Drosophila melanogaster: one gene and its partner. The protein of the gene in region 1 interacts with the protein of each later gene in a pairwise test. Each region holds a gene or a part of one and is shown on either strand. Other genes may lie near its edges. The genes, in order: CG9393 and CG8004.

What was found.
Region 2: the proteins of CG9393 (region 1) and CG8004 interact in a two-hybrid assay, tested with the Drosophila melanogaster proteins (2 studies listed by BioGRID).

The regions. Positions count from the first base shown.
Region 1 is NT_033777.3:9,561,083-9,569,974, reverse strand, and holds CG9393 (uncharacterized protein), read left to right. Parts: upstream 1-6,301; 5' UTR 6,302-6,452; coding exon 6,453-6,539; intron 6,540-6,638; coding exon 6,639-6,785; intron 6,786-6,879; coding exon 6,880-7,158; intron 7,159-7,404; coding exon 7,405-7,800; intron 7,801-7,863; coding exon of another isoform or gene 7,864-7,905; exon of another isoform or gene 7,906-7,973; coding exon 7,974-8,048; 3' UTR 8,049-8,392; downstream 8,393-8,892. Other genes in the region: CG16790 (uncharacterized protein), read left to right, coding at 1-326, 388-724; CG16789 (uncharacterized protein), read right to left, coding at 995-1,169, 1,223-1,393, 1,456-2,364, 2,419-3,419, 3,512-3,751; Vps45 (vacuolar protein sorting 45), read right to left, coding at 4,111-5,543, 5,595-5,793, 5,857-5,949; MBD-like (Methyl-CpG binding domain protein-like), read right to left, coding at 8,563-8,892. UniProt on the Drosophila melanogaster protein: Involved in transport of proteins into the mitochondrion. Essential for embryonic development.
Region 2 is NT_037436.4:19,926,694-19,935,087, reverse strand, and holds CG8004 (uncharacterized protein), read left to right. Parts: upstream 1-6,579; 5' UTR 6,580-6,650; coding exon 6,651-6,734; intron 6,735-6,807; coding exon 6,808-7,533; 3' UTR 7,534-7,894; downstream 7,895-8,394. Other genes in the region: CG46462 (uncharacterized protein), read right to left, coding at 3,246-3,350; RhoGDI, read right to left, coding at 2,910-3,106, 3,711-3,825, 3,891-4,000, 4,074-4,257; Grasp65, read right to left, coding at 8,209-8,394.

The DNA of each region.
Region 1 (8,892 bases):
GCAGCCACCCTGCTGGGCCCCAAGAAGCCCAAGCCCGAGGAGTTCGTCGAGGATGTGGTGGATGATCCCGCGGAACATGGCGGCCGCATGCGTAGTTTCAAGCATGAACGGGGAAACTGGGCCACTTACGTCTATGTGCCGGCAACAGCATGTGTTGACCAGCTGGAGGAGTTCCAAACGGAGGCCATTGCTCGTCTGGAGCCACACTTGGAACTGCAGCCGAACGAGTCGCTCCATCTGAGCCTGAGTCGAACAGTGGTGCTGCAGTACCATCAGATCGATGAATTCTCCCGATCCTTGCAAAGCGCCCTCAACAGCTCTGCGGGGTGAGATGTTTAACCAAGTTAAATCTAGTATCTCCCATCCTGATGACCAATCCTCTTTTAGATTCGCCGCCACTTTGCAGGGGCTGCGGATCTACACGAATGAGGAGCGAACCAGGACCTTCATTGCTGCGCCCCTGGACGCTGCATTTGTGGAGAAGATGACTGCCATTCTGCAGCCCATCGACCAAGTGATGCTCGACTACCGGCTGCAACAGTTCTATGATCCGGCCTCGTTCCACGTCAGCCTTCTTTGGTGCGTTGGCGACCAGGAGACACTGCTTAACGAAAAGCTCACGGAGTTAAAAGAGCTCCTTGATGATCAGGACAAACTCTGCCTGGCGGTCAATGAGGTGCACCTAAAGTGCGGCAACAAGGATTTTACCTACTCGTTGAAATAGGATATTGCCAGTCTTTAACTGAATCATAAATATTTATGCATGCTGATCTTTCAATTGGAATGTAGTGGAAAATATATATTGACTTTATTAGGTATCAAAAATGTAATCTGTTCCATATTAGCTCATATATATGAACATATAAATTGTAGTTTGCTAATAAAAGCAAGATTGTAAAGCAAGCCATAGCGTTGAATGAATGGTTACCATTAGCAATCCAAAGATGTTTCCTTACAAATTAGGCTTAAATATAAGAAGTCCAGTGATTACCTTTTAATTAAGACCCTTTTTCTTGTTACCATTTCCCTGCTTGGCCGCCTGCGCCTGCTCCTCCAGTAATCGCTCCTCCTCCAGCTCCAAAAACCGCTGACGACGGCGGCCGAGCGGGGTCTTCGACCACCAGGACTCGAAAGCTTCCTCCTCTTCGCGGTAGACGGGATCTCGTGAGCTGAAAGGCATGGAAACTAACAACTAACTAATTTCATAGCCAAATCTACTTACCACAGAACATTGATCAGTTCGGCATTGGTCAATGGTTGGGTGCGCAGCTGGAGTTTCCGCTTGCAGGTCATCACCTCCTTGAGGCACGCATCGATGGACCCAATGGTATAGCCATCTGATATTTTGGCCATGGCGCTGGTGTCCAGATTGGAAATGCCACCAGAGTAATCGCTGTCGGGGTGCAAACCAAATCAGTAGATTATTTTGCAAATGAATCCCCCACATTTACGCACTGTAACAATGTTTTCCAGGCATGTGACATGGCGCCGTAATCCGGTCGTGGAATATAGATGAACCGATTGTAGACGGATTGCAATAGCTTTTGATCCGCCTCCCAGGGCAGATTGGAAGTGCCAATGAAAACGACGCGATCCTCGGGCGCAATGTTCTTTATCAACTTGGGCAGATCCTTCTTCAGTCGCTTGGGATCTGTGCGATCCGTCTTTGGAATTTTCTTCATGAAGGGCCGCTCCGCATCGCCCATGAATATCACCGCAGGCTGGAGCAGTCGCGACACTTTCAGTACCAGATGGATTAGCATTATCAGTCCCGATTTGCCAGGATACTTGCCAACAATATTGGCAGGAGTCAGATCAAAGAGCACGGCACCCACCTCCGTGCAAATGGCGTGGAGCAGTGCCTTCTTCCCAGATCCTTTGGGGCCAGCTAACAGGATGGAACGTATCAGTGGAGTACAGTTATGTATGGCATCAGATCCCAGTGGAAGGATGCAGTACTCCGTGAGAATCTGGCGAATGTCGCCCGGTGAGGGATTAGTGCCAATCCTGGCAGTCAACGCCTTATCGCCCAGGAATTGCTTTAGCCTTAGCTCCGGGTATTTCCGGATTATGCCATTCGTGACCAGCTCCTCGTACAGCGACTCCGTAGTGCGATCCGGCGTTAGATCCTTCTCCTTCTTCTTTTTGCTCTTCTTGCCGGATCGCCGAGTTTTTTTGCTGCTCTTCTTCACCTTCTTGCCGACGGCCGTTTGGAGCAGCTCGATCTCCTGGCGCATCACATCGTCGACGGCGCGCCGAAATTCTAGCTCCACCTCCTGGTACTTGTCGCTGTAGATCATGTCCTCATAGGCCGCTTGGCTCAGCACACCGGTTTCATCCTTATCACGCCAGGTATCGTTAAACCTGAAGTTGTAAAAAGATTAAATTTGGATCAATTTATTATATATCTTTACTCACAGATCGATCTCCGCACGGATGTCTGGCAGGCAAACGGACGGTGCCGGCTGGAAGCTAACTTCCTCGTCTTGGTTTTCGTTGACGTTGAGGTCACCACTGCGAGCGGGTGACTTGGACTTATCCTTGGTCTTTCGCGACTCCTTGGAGGAGCGGGCCGACGAACGGCTGTGCTCGCTCTCAGTTCCAGGTCTGCTGAAAATATGCAATGAGCCGCCCTGATCCTCGGATGGAAAGTCCGGCAGCTTGCCAGTCTTGTCGTAGCAGTCCTTTACCCAAGCCCGAATCTCATCGGCAATGTCCTCCTTCATGCTGGCTCCGTGCTTGGCCCGAATCTCCTCCTTTAGTGCGTTCTGTCGCTCCTCAAACTCTTTGCCGTAAAACGCTTGCGCCTGGTAGCGCTTCTCGTTGTGTTGCAGCTTCTCCAGCTTCTCGGCTCGTTCCTTAACCACAGCCGGCGGTGGTGGCAGCATTCCGATTAGGATCATCTCCTCCATTTTGCGGCGCCGCGTTATCCGTCGGGCTGTGTGGCCACGCCACATCTTCTGAATCTTCATGGCAGCCAAAAGACCAGAGTCACTGCGCTCCTTTTCGGTGCGCTCCTCCGACTTGCCCTTCTCCTTTAGGATGCGAATCTCCTTCATGAAGTGGGCACGCAAGCGTCCTTGTCGCGCTCGCTCGTGCATTTGAAGCATCCTAATGGCTTCGATCTCGGTGGTAACCGTCTCCTCCAGCTCGTGCTCCTCAAGCCAACCCAGCTTCGTTAGGATCTCATGCATGGTCTTCTTTCGAAACTCTAGCTCCTGCTGACGCTCGCGCAGAAAGTAGCGTGGTATCCTCAGCTCCGTTTCCATGGGCGTCAGGCGCAGGCGTTCCACCACCTCGTCGTTGTAGCTAAATTCCATCAAGTCGATATTTACGAGATCGTGCTTCAGCTCCACCACTCGACCCAGACAGGCGTCTAGTAATTTACGCACCAACTGGCGCTTCTGAGGCTGAATCATCTATGATGAAAGATGAGAAGTAAACCAGAGTCAAAGGATATATCATCTCCTTATATATATCCCACTTTTGTTTAAGAAAGTCGTATACCCACATTATCATAGACATCCTCCAAACGATTGCTCAGACATATGTAGCGCAGATAGAACTCGTACAGACTGGACTGCAGCAAGGCCTTGGCATCCGCATCGGCGGCGACGGATCCGACCGCTGCATTCATGGTGGCCACCGTCGTCTCCACATCCTGGTGCTGCCTCTCATAGTCAATCGTGGATAGAAGCTCGCATTCATGCTGGGATTGGTGCCAGATATCATTGAAATATGTGCTGGACATGATGGTCAATGATACTCCTCCAATGAAAAATCAGATTCTTGTTTGAGCCAAACGAAACGTTGCCTGGGAGTTGCCAAGGAACTTTTTGCCGAAACGGGGTGGAATTATTGCAAGGACAACGAGAGTTTAGTAATTTTGTACACACATAGTTGTATATAATACATTTTGTCCAAGGCGTTGCCTGGTGTTACCCTCGAGAATAACAATAAATATGTTTACATGGTTACGCTTAAAAGGTTAAATAGTCCAATGGATTTGAATTGGTACAATGCATGGAATACCTTAATACATAATGCACATTCATATTTAGTTAATAAATAGTTAACAATATAATTGGGGCTATCTAGTCAAAATAGACTTTAAATGTTATCCGTGGAACAGTACTTGATCATGGATTTGGTGTGCTTAAACTGAATGCCACTAGTGGCGGCCACGACCTCTTGGATAAAACTCTGCGAGTTATGGATGGTGGTGCCGCCAAGAATGACTTTATAGCCGGCGTTGTTTAACTGGTGCACCGCTAAGGCTTCCTCGTACGTGGCACCGCCAATAATGAACACGACAACCTCCTGCGGTGGTCGTCGAAATGGCACAAGCTCTGAATTGATGGCCGGGAAGAGGGGATCCAGCTCGCGGCCCTTAAACACGTCCTCCAAAGTTTCCTTCAGGAGAGGAGTGTGCTGTGTGAAGACATTTTCCACACCCTTAAGGCCCTTAATCAAATTCCGTGTCAGCTTTACGGCGTCCGTTATCCGCACCATATTGAAGAGATCTCCTTGTCGTACATGGGTTCCAGCATACTCAATCAACGATGGCACTATAGCCGCTCGTCCACCGCGCGTTTTGATTATTTGCAGCAGTCCAGATGTGTCGCAGTTGGCGTGTCGCTCGTATCGCAATGCATAAAGTGCCACCAACTTAAGAGCATCATCGATGGAAACCCGTTCGTCGGCAATTAGTTTTTTGATTCTCTGCAGCTGGGCCGAGTGCTCCGCCTTGCAAGCGATCTCCTGTTCAAGTTCGGAAACCTCGAAGAGATTCCTCTTGTTGCTCAGCGCCGACAGTTCTCCAATCACACACAAATGCTTTTGCACAGTGCCAGACATTTTTTTAAACTGCGGATATGACTCAATAAAGTTCTTCATGTCTGCTATGCTCTCCACTTTCTTGTGGTCGTTCGCCTTGCGCTGGAACTCCTCCATCAGTTGTTTGATGGTAGATCCGATTTCGCCGTAGTTGGCGTACATGTTGTTGCCATAGAAGTCATCCTGATCACCGGATAAGACCAGCTCCTTGAAGTCTTTCGGCACATTGGGGCAATTGGACAGGTCCAATCGATTGTTTTTTATGTGCAGCAACTCATGCACCATGGCCTGGTATGTCCACTGATGCAAAAGCGGCGTCACAGGATCGTCCCTGCGGTCCAGCACAAGCAGCAGCGGTGGCGCAGCGCCATCCATGTTGGAGCGAAAGTCGAATAGCGAGGACTCTTTTGTGATTTGCTCGTATATGAGCTTGGCCAGAAGCTGCGCTGCCTGAGAACCGGCTCGGTACCGGATCACTGGGTTCAGCTTAAGGGACAACAGCACGGCTGTGATGCCCTGCATGCTGCGGTTGAGAGCGTCCGGCAGCCAATTAAGATTCGCCATGCAATTGGGAATGCCTAATGAGAACAGATTGGGGTTGACGCACAGGTAGTCTGCATACAGTTCCTTCACTTCTCGCACCGATTCGGATTCGTCGCACTCTGCCAAGTATTTAATGTCCGTCCGGGGAATGATGTTGCTGAAATCTATTTATGAGTTTAGTACTATTCCGAAGGTGCTTCTACTGACCCACTTACAAATGTAGTAGGCGCTGTATTTGGGGTTCCGCAACTCGTTGGCCAGTAGCTGGATGTTCTGCTTGGTGGGGCGTATAAAGACGATGCATTTTAGATACTTTAACCGCTCGTTGGATCTTCCCGAGTCCAGGCGCTCAAATAGGTACACCTCCCGTTGCAGCATGTCCGATTGGCTAAAGGCCATCGAAATTATACTGGTCTGCGAATGATGTGAATTTTTGATCATATGGCAGGGGATTTGATTGTCAGTCCTTGCACTTACCGTCTCCTTGTCCAGCAGAATGATTTTCATGCCCGGTCCCGACTCGGAGCACATTTTCTCGATGTACAACTTAATGCCGCTTATCAGATTCATGACTGCTAACTAATTTACTGCGAAAATCAGAAATTAATGTTTTTTTTCGCAAACAGATGGGTTGGAGATGCCCCAATTGCGATAGCTCCGTGATAACAGCGGTGACCAAACATTTGGGTAACATTCGCTAGATCTAGCTAATGTAAAATAATGTGAATATGTAAAAATGCATATAGATAAAAACTTACAATTTTTTGGTAGTATAATAAAAATAGCAATAAAGATAAACATAAATAGCAATTAAGCTCAAACATAATTCCGTATCTTTTCATTAGCCAAAATAAACTTCGAGTAGCAACATCCCTGGCCGGCAATCGATAAAGCGCCGATATGCTCGAGCGATATATCGAGTGCCCAGTAGTTATCAGTCTGAAGCACTCGCAGCAGTCGGCCAGAAATTCTGGCATATATTTTTGGATTCAAATTCGGATGGCTGATATGCAGGTGGACTGTTGAAAACCGGCTAAATACAAGAGTACGAGCAAAGCATAGACTAGGACACAATGGAGATGCAACTGGGAGCCATGCTGTATGTGTACAAGGGGGAGTACGGACTGCCGTCCATAGATTTTGAATGTTTACGTGCTCTGGTAAGTTCCGTTGCATCACACGGCGGCCAGCACGCCTGTTTTGCCCATTATCGCAGATGATGAAAGAAACTGATGAAAGCGCCTCTTTGCCGGAAACAGTGCCTCCTGCGATTCACCCGCTGCCCCATGGACGTGCAGACCAGCTCCAATCCGCTGCGTTCGGGAGCCGGGAAGCTGCCGTATCTGCAGATCGGCAACCAGAAGTTCGCGGGCTATAGGCAAATTAAGCGCGTGCTGGATCTCGAGGTGAGTGAGCAAAACAATGCCGGGGTGAACAAACTGCAGGCTCTATTTATAGATATGTGTTTTTTTATGGGCTTAATTCGACGTATTCTTTCAGGGTTACCCGATAGATGCGCATTTAAGCACTAAACAAAAGCATTTGTCCACCGCCTACGCCAACTGGGTGTTCACCAATCTGCATGCCTACTACCACTACTTCCTGTTTGGAGAGCCTCACAATTTTGACACAACCACGCGGGGCCTCTACGCCAAGCGCACGCCATTCCCCTTCAACTTCTACTACCCGTCGTCCTACCAAAGGGAAGCCTGCGACGTGGTTCAGGTGATGGCCGGTTTCGATGTGAACGACAAGTTGGACAAGCACGAAGGCGACTACGTGAGTGCTTTCAATTTCATATTGTCTCATATTACATTATTGTATCTTTAAATCCGAGGATTTTTTAATTTGTTTATCTAACCTATGTTTTACACCCAAGCTGCATTTCGATTGGAAACGTTTCATCAGTTTATATTAATAAGAAACAGTTTCTCATGTATTGGTCTTTTGTTATCAATATATCTTATCAATGTTGTGAAAAGCAAGACGTTTCTTTAACTATCAATTAATCATTTTACTTTACAGCTCGTTGTCAATGCCAAAAAAGTGGTGAACCTGCTCTCCCGGAAATTGGGTCGCAAGGTGTGGTTCTTTGGCGACACCTACAGCGAGTTTGATGCCATTGTCTACAGCTATCTTGCCATCATCTTTAAGATCGCACTGCCTAACAATCCACTGCAGAATCACATTAAGGGCTGCCAAAACCTAGTGAACTTTATCAACCGCATCACGAAGGACATATTCCGCATCGAGGGATACAGTTCCGTCAAGCTCACAAAGACACCCAGTGGCACGGAGGCCAGTCTGACGGCCTCGGAGCGCAAGTTCCTAGACTCCGAGCTGAACACCAAAATAGTAGCCGGCGTGGGAGCCGTCTTGGCCATGGGAGCGTTTGCGGCATGGCGTGGGATTTACAACCAGGTGGGTATTTTTGGCTGAAATTTGTAGTTCTTTACTCTTGACTTGATGGAGCTTATTCGATAGTTCTGGTTCAATGTCTTCTGTTGGCTCCAGACACTCTTGTAGACAGCCTCAGCTTGAGCACGTGCAAAATTCTCAGTTAATTGCAAATTCCGATTGATTCATCCTTGCAGCTAACGACACGCTCTTCGACGGACTACGATGGCATAGATTACGAGGATGACGAGATGGAGGAGGGCCTAGACTAATCGCATCTCTGCAACGATATCTATGTGTATAGTATATATATTTTAAAATACAATGTGGGGATGAAGCACAAAAACTGTCCAGCTTTAAAGGTTTACCTAAACACTGAAGGAGATCGATTTACTTGGCCATAAATCTTTGGACCGAAAATTTCGTCAGGTAATGATCCCCTCGTCGTAGATAACGCTTCGTTCCAAGGATTTGCCAAACAAATCGACTAAGTATGAAAATTCGGTTTATGTATTATAGTTCGAATTCGTTTTTAAACTGTCTTGTATAAAATAGCATTTTAAAGTCATCTGAGCGTAATAAAATTGGATAACAGAGCCCTGTTGTCATGGAAAAGACAAGCGAAGCTTTCTCGATGTCCAATAAGAAACCAGAATTCCTCGATTGGAGTTGGATTTGGTTTATTACACACTAGTCTTAAATGTAGATTTCGAATAGGGGTCAATACGATAGAGATGTTAGAGCCTACAATGGAATTGGTAGATGCATGGGGGTTAACCATTGAACTCATGTCTTGAGTGCATCCTGCAGCTTTCGCCGCGCAACTCCGACCCGATCCTCCTGTTTGCGTATGTCGTCCTCCGAAATGATCACCGCGTGCATTAGCGGTTGTTCAGGATTCATAAACGCCATGGCATTCTTGGTCAAATCAGCCTTCGTAGAACTCTGGCCGTGTACGCCGGCGTTGAGCATATGCAGGGCCGTGGCCACCGACTGGAGGACGGTCTGTTCGTTGACATTGGGGCCAACGGTGCGTATGGTCTTGGGCAGTGAGATGTCGTCTAGCTCCTCGCCACTGTCGTGGCAGGCGCGTAGTCGTTCCAGTCGCTTCTCCCA
Region 2 (8,394 bases), on another chromosome or scaffold:
TTTATATAGACATAAGAAGAAAACGTAATAATAAAAACAATAGCCGCCCCCCTTGGTGCTTTCTATATATTTTCCACAGACAGCCCACTGCGAGTGTGCAATAAAATTCATCATACGCTACGTTGGCCCCTTTTGGCTGGGAACAGGATGAAAGTTTCGCACGTTGCTCCGTGTGCTGACCCGCATATGAAATTAGAGGCCAGCAGAAACCGAAAAGTTGCCAAATCTTTGTTGGATTTAATTATGCTTAAATGGGCTTAGCAAAAACTTGCCATAGAAGCAAAAAGGTATTCAATAAAGGTGCATGCCCATACATGAGATCTAAAATGAAATTAATTGAATTTCGAACAAAGGAAGTTTAATTTTGCCACATTTGACTACTATATACATATGTATATGCCATATTTTGTGGACAAATGCTGTGTTGTCCGTTTTGCCGTTTGCTGTGTGAAAATTATTAAATCTTGTTAACCAGGAGAAACAGGATAAGAATATGTAAAACAGTTAAATATATATTTTTTAAAATCATGCCAATGGGCAAATTGCATAAATGCAAACACATAAATCCCATTAGCGGCTATAAAAGCTGTGCATACATATAGCCATTTGTAGAGATTAAATATGCATTTTTACAGCGATGCCTGTGCGGCTTGACATCAGCTGCATTTCATGGCTTTTCCAGTGGAACAGATGCCAATAATCCTAGTGCTAGTGATGGGGATGAATTCGAAAAAAAATACAAAATTTATTTATTTAAAAAAATGTTAAAAAATATAAAAGGTTTTACACTTGAATAAACCAAATGAAGTTTCTTTCTAAATATCATAAGTATTATTACATAAGACATAATGAATAATGAATATAGTAATATTCAACAATTTGATTTAAGCGAGCATTCATTTCTCTCAGTGTAAAATAACAACAAGGTACCGTTAGCAGCACTGCCTACCTACACGGGGACAAAATGGCCACCATTCGCATTTCCGCTTGCGTGTGCTGTGTGAGCACTTTGCCTGTTGCGCTTTCTGGCCTGCTCTTTGATTGCATTTCATTTCTACTTTATTATCCGCATTCTGGACGGCTCCTGTTTTTTCCATTGGCTCAGCAGCTTTGCTGCAAATTTCATTGAGCCCCAGCCCGGATGCAATGGACCATAAAGGTGCAGCGGCGGGACAATTGGCAGCATTGGGCCAAAAGGCCACATTGCCACACAATGGGGAGTGCGGAATGTTGGAATGTCGGATTGAACAATGCGATTGAAGGCTGAAATTCGACGGGCCGTCTGTCAATCAAAACATCCTCGACGGACAGAGATAGACGTTCCTGTTTGATGCAAAAATATTGGTATTTCAAAGGTAATGTTAAGAGTAGTCGAGCTGAACGGCCATACCAAAAGACATATATCTGCTAAACCATTTGAGTGAATTAAAAGATATAGTATATATAATTTTTTGCTATGAGGAAATATATGAAAATGGCGAAACAAGCAAGACTTCTCTTATGTATACATGTAAGTTTTTGTTAGTTGCTTACCTGTAATTACTTCTCACGTAATGAAAACAGTGTGTACTTATTTTTCTGATTGTTTTGTTCCACATCCTGGAAAATCGCACCCTTAAAGGACCCCAAAAAACATACGAATGCCCCAGGCCATTTACCGAAAACACAAATGATTTGTTTTTCTTAAATTACACCATTTTTCTGCTGGCAACTATAGCAATTTCCGAAAAAGTAACTTGCTTATTCATGCAGGTTTTCGCGACTCTGAAGACAAATGTGCGTTGGAATATAAAATGCGGTTATTATTATTTTCTGTTCTGAAGCGGCGATTGTTGGGCAACATGCTGCTAATGTCTGGCGCAACAAGAGGCTGGCCACTTGTTGCTGGTTGCGAATGTAAACAGAGAAGTGTGTTTCACAAATTCTCTCTTTTGTACACCTTGAAAAATATTTGGTGACCGTTCACAGGGCGGATGAGTAATACTCGCTCTGCTGGCCACAATTTATGACGTTTGCCCCTTGGCAATGTAAGCTGATAAGCATTATAAAGTGTGAAGTCAACTTATCTTTGGCTACGGAGAAATCTGTGCACACACTGCCACTATAATTTATGGGATACCCATATCATGGAAAAAGAATTCGCTCACTTAGGCATTTATTTTAAAATATGTATCCTTTATTCTTTATTGCTCTTCGGTTGCATTCAATCAGCTTTCGCATATATGGTATGTTGTACACAAAAAATACACAGAGATATATAGTTAGAATAATGTGGATTTAAGTAACTCCATGTTGCACAAACTTCAAATGCATAATAAAGCATCAGCTTTAGTTGCATTTAACAGTTCGTGTTGCACGATTTTAATCGGTTTCTTTTTAGTTTTGAGGCGACTTGTTCTTACAATAAACTATTCCATTCTTCAATTTGAAATACACAGCGAAATGCAAACAACTTTCTTAAAGTTAATTACTCAATTGTTAATCTGTTTGAAAATGTATGTTAAACATAGGCAATGGCATTAAGAACCAAACGACTGACTGTCTGACTGACTGGTTGGCTGACTGACTGACTGACTGGCCTAGTGACTTGACTTGGTTTTGACTTGACTCTCATTGAGGAGGACTTAGGCGAAAAATGCTCTTCATCTGCACACATTCCAATTGCAAATAGGGTATCAAAAATACTTATCATGGCTTTACATTACACTTTAGTTACAAAAATATTTAAAATTTAATACCGTTAACAAAAATACTTGACGATCAATTACACTTTTGGAAAAATTCGCTTACACTTTTGGAACAAAACTAAACTCATTTACAAGGCATGTTTGAGGGAAAACAAAAAGCGTATGATGTATGTTGTAAGTTGTGTGTCGTGTGTGTTTGTTGTGTGCTGTTCGGTGTGCCAATTAGGCCCAGTCCTTTTTGATCTCAAAGGTCCAGTCCCACTCCAGGTGTATGTGCTTGTCGTCATCCGTGAAGACCGAACTGACCGAGTAGGTGCCGCGGGAGAATGTGCCTGAAGGTGCCTCCTCGGCGGGCGTCAAATAGAACTGAATCTCCTTCTTCGGCGGATAGGAGCCAACCATATGCTTCATCTTGTCAACTATGGAGTAATGCGAAAACAGTCAGTTTAGTAAGGATACACATTTGCGGATGGGCTGCACCAGCTTACCCACAACTTAAAAAATTATACATTCCGAAATTAGGGTTTGGCATTGGAGATAATGGAATACAAGTTATTCTCAACACATGACTAAAGTTAGTATGGCAATTGTGAAAAAAAGGATATAGGCAGCACTGCAAAATCCCACCAGTATGGTTGTGCCATTGAACCAGCTTTTACCCATTGCTAGAAACAAAACTCGACTAGCCCGCACAAAAGTCAATCAAAAACTGAGGTGTAATACTAACGATTTCGCGTCAGCACGGAAAATTGAAGACCTAGAAGTGCTCGCATAGTGTAACGTATGGAAAATAACTAAAAACAAGTATCTTTTGACCCGGTTTTAATTTAATTTTATTCTTACAATACTAGGGCACTAGGTCAGTAAATAAATAAATCAATTAATAGAAAATTAGGGTAGGACAAAAAAGAAATATAATTGCTTTGCCCTAAGTAAAGACATATAATGTTGATAGAATTGAGAGTGTAAATCTATTCTATATTCTGCCAATTAAAAATACAAATGTCATGTTTAAATACTCACCATTAACACCCAAGCGAGAAGTCTTTTGAACATACTTAAGGCCATGGACTATTTCACGCTGCACAATAAAATCAATGCGCACCTTGTACTGAACACCTTCTTTGATCACAAAAAGCTGTCGCAATAGGGTTTTGATTAACAAAAGTAGTCGAATGGATGATGATGGTTAATGATATTTACCTGCTTTTTCAGCTGACTAAGGTCACCGGTAAGATCCAATTCCATGTCGTCGCGTCCTTCGACAACGAGGGCCAGTTTCTTTACAATAACTTTTCGGGGATCATTGGGTTCTGGGTAAAAATGTTATTGCTTTAGTATATTCTGCACCCTCCACTTTCAGAGGCCAAGTTAACCGCCCCTTACCAACAATAATTTTCTCGGTCTGGGCGGCACCCAGGAGCGCCTCCTTGTAGCGCCGCAAGCTCTCATCCTCCTGATCGGCGGCCATTATTTCCTCGATGGTCTTCTCCGGCGGCGCCTGGTAGTTGGCATCGTGGACATCGTCGTCGTGGTGCTCGGGATGGTGCTTCGTCTCTGTTTCGGCCATGATTGCTAACCTAGAACTGTCCAAAGGCAATTGTTTGTTTATCAATCAATTACATTTAAATATTGCTTCGGATTTTGCTTAGTATGCGTCGGTTTCTCTGGGTGAAGCTTGTGGGTCATAGGCATATTTTTAGTAGTGTGAGTAACATTTTGACGATAATGATGTTGTTTTATACACATATGTATATGCCTCCATTTTAATGGCATGTGCGCCACCATATCTGCTACATCGTATCGGAGTGTATGAAAGTATTCCTCATTCAAAAAATGTAGGAAGAGTGTTTTTTCTTCTGAAAATTGTCGCCCTAAGGAGAGTTGAGCTCATAACTTAACAATGCAGGGAAGAAATTCGAAAAAAAAACCTGCCATCTAAATATATAGTTGAGTAGTTAGTACATTTGTTTCTACAAATTACAATGTTAAATATTGAAATTCAAATAACAACGATCGCAAACATATTCCATATACTTCGCTACTGATTACGTTATCATTCGCTGGCCATAAAGCGGGTTTATTTACTTTTTTGGCAACACGAGTGCCTCCGTTGCGAACAAATGTAGCCACTTCATAAGCCCGTTCAATAATATTGATTAAATTTCAATTATTAACGCATTGATGAACTGACGTGTTCTCTGTCTAGGGGGCGGGGCAGAGAGGGGCGCTCGACCTGCAGCTGGTCCGCTCGCAAAGTAAAAAAAAAGGTTCAACCAAATACGGAGCGGCAGTTAGATAAGGCAGGCGAACTCGACGGAGGGAGAGAGAGCGGATATCGGCATTGAATAATATTGACCAGAACTGGGAACTGGCGACAAAAAGCCAAACCCACCGCCCCCCGGAAAATGGCTTTATTGTTATCTTGCTTTGTTTTCCACTATCTAAATACACGTCGCCAGCTCTCTGTCCATTTTCAACGAATGTTGTTGGGCCAATAATAATTCTCGATTCTCCAGATTTGGCTTTATATATATGTACATACATATGCAGTGTACCCGGGCAAAAAAAATACATGAAATTGAATTGTTATTACTTGACATCGAGTTGTTGTTGAGGTAATAAAATTGTGTCTATACAAAACGATTTTGCAGGCCCATGTGTACATACAGTAGTAATAATGATGTATTTCTCAATTTTATACAAAACATATTTTGAAATTCTCAAAGCTAATAAATATTTATCTATCTATCTATCTGTTTTTTACTTGTAAATGTAAATATTATTGGTGCTTAAAAATCAATAGTTTGAATCTTAGTATCGGTTTTTAGATCTCATCGTAATATTTCCAAATTAGGCATATGAAAAGCACTCACAATTTCTCTCCGTGCTTGTGTGGGAATGGCAAAAAATAATAAACAAAAAATTTTCGGACTAACAACGCAAGTTTGGGCCAATAAATACAATCGCAACAATTAAGGATGGGTGAGAAAAGGTAATTTCAAGAACAATCTGACCGAACTGAAAATTTGAATTCCAAACAAATGTGCCAGCGTCGAAGGAAGTGCAAGCGAGAGGGCTTGCCAGAGAGAGAGAGAGAGAGAGAGAGAGAGAGGACCCCCCGCCAAAGACAAAGTGTGGGGATAATTCAGGGAAAAGTACGAACCATGCCACTTTTTTTTCTTCTCTTTTTTTGATAAAGAAATGTGCACGAAGAATGTTAAAACCCCAGACGAATGAATCACACACACCAGCTCACACACACACACACTCACACTGAGGCCGGCACATGAATCGTCACTGATTTTCAAGTAGAATTTTTGGGAGTGGTTCTTGGCCTGCAGTCACCCAACTACATACATTTGCTATCAATGCCAGCTTGTATTAAATTAATATAATAATATTATAAATATTTTTTTTATGTAAAATGCATTGGAAGGCACCGCACTCACACACACACACAGTTGCAAGTTGGCAACGACGCGCACTCACCTTTTAATATGCGAAATTAATCAAATAGTACGATCTCTGAAAATTAATCACTGAAAAGTAACTGTATGTTATATTTTTAACAACTTTTGATAACTAACTTTTAAACAAAGCAAATAATATAAAATAAGAATTACAAGTGTGAACGTATGCTTTGGTGGACAGAATACCAAAACGCGAGATGGACTTGAAGAAGTCATCCGTTCACACTGCTGTCCAAAAATACTTGCTTTTCGAAAAAGTTTTTAGTTTTGAAACAGCTTCCCCTAAATCTATTTTATACTTTGTAAGTATGGGTTTAAAAAGAAATTATTAATTAGTTTAACGAATCTTGCTGAAATGCAATTTCTAATAAGAATCGCTGTTTGGTCATTGTCTGCAACAGTCTGGCAACGCCGACAAACAGCTGCTTGTTACTTCATCGGCGATTTCGGTGTGCAAGTTGAAAAACACAATTTACTCCGTTAATTTACAATGACATCCCAGTACCTGAGCCAGCTAATAACGGCCGACAAATTGTCCGCCGAGCCCTGGCCCGAAGACGCCACCCTCTACCAGGTAAGGTCCTGGTTTATAGGTCCAGAATCTTCACTAACATTAACCTTTCATTAATGTGCATTAAAAAAAACAGCCGTATGAAGCGGAACAGATCCTACTGCCGGAAAACGCCAGTTGCCTTGCTGTGAAGGCTTACCTGAAGATGTGCAACCTCCCCTTTTTGATTCGGTCCTGTGCCAACGCGGAGCACATGTCGCCGGGCGGCAGGATGACCAAGTTGCCCTTCATCCGCGCAGGAGCATTCATCTTTGCCGAATTCGAGCCGATCGTGAACTTTGTGGAGCAGAAGGAACTGGCCATTGGCAGCTGGCAGGACGAGGACGAGAAGGCCGACATGCGCACCTATGTGTCGCTGGTGGAGAACATCTTCACCATGGCTGAGCTGTACATTAGCTTCAAGAACGAACGCGTCTACAAAGAGGTCACAGCGCCCAGGAACGGAGTCGTTTTTCCCTGGCCCCTCAATCACATGCAGAACTATGGAAAGCGGCGGAACGCGCTGCGTCTGTTGAAGGTCTATCAGTGGGACGACCTGGACATCGATAGCGTCATTGACAAGGTGGCCAAGTGCTGTGAGACGCTCGAATACAAGCTGAAAGAGTCGCCGGAAACGCCATTCTTCTACGGCGATCAGCCCTGCGAACTGGACGCCATCGCCTTCGGCCACCTCTTCAGCATTCTGACCACCACGCTGCCGAACATGGCGCTGGCCCAAACGGTGCAGAAGTTCCAGCACTTGGTCGAGTTCTGTCGCTTCGTCGATGAGAAGTACTTTCAGACGAGGTGCCTACCAAATTAGTTATACGTAGTCGTTGCCTTAAATGCTTATCAATTAAGTTGCTCTTGTCCTTTCTTTTTAACCGCTTATATATGCAATTCTAAATGCCCTTAAAACAAATCGTCGCCGTAAGTCACAATTATTTTGCTACTAGCATTTAAAAAAAAAAGTTGTTCTAGTGATTTTGCTGCCATTAATGTCCAAAAATCCATGTGAATATCATTTGCACAAGTGACTCAATCTGCAAGTTTGTTTAAATGGAATTCTAAAATACTTCTAACGATCTTTACTTCATTTATTTTGCAGCAAATAACTTTTCTGCTAATAAAATTGTGTAAGTATTTGCTATAATACATCAAATAAATTGTTTTCTTAGCAAACCAAAAAAAAAAATAGTCTTGATTTTTGAACATTGCTGCCTTTTCCTTTTCATACTTTTGAAGAAATTGAACTCTCGTTTATGTAAAGACCTTAAATACACATATAGTTTTATTGATTTATTGTTATAATTAATTTAGATTATTATTATGAATGCAATGTACACATCTTTGCATGCAGATGGCCGAACCAATCGCGCCACTTGTGATATTTGCTAACGCAATCATACAAAACAATCAGATGATTCTCGAAAATAAAAGCTTAACAATTTGTCCAGGTTTAGCAGTTGGTCCATTAGCAGTTGGCCCAGTAGAAGTCTTAGTTTCCAGCCTGATTCACTGCCGGTCCGGATAGTTCGTCGTTGCCTGCCGCCGGAGCAGCGCCAGCTTGCGGTGGTACTGGTGGTGCAAACACATGGGCCATCTGCGGCGGCAACGGCGTTGGCTGCGTGGGAAACAGTCCGCCCATGGAGGGTTGCACCTGCGGATACGACGGCACTGTCTG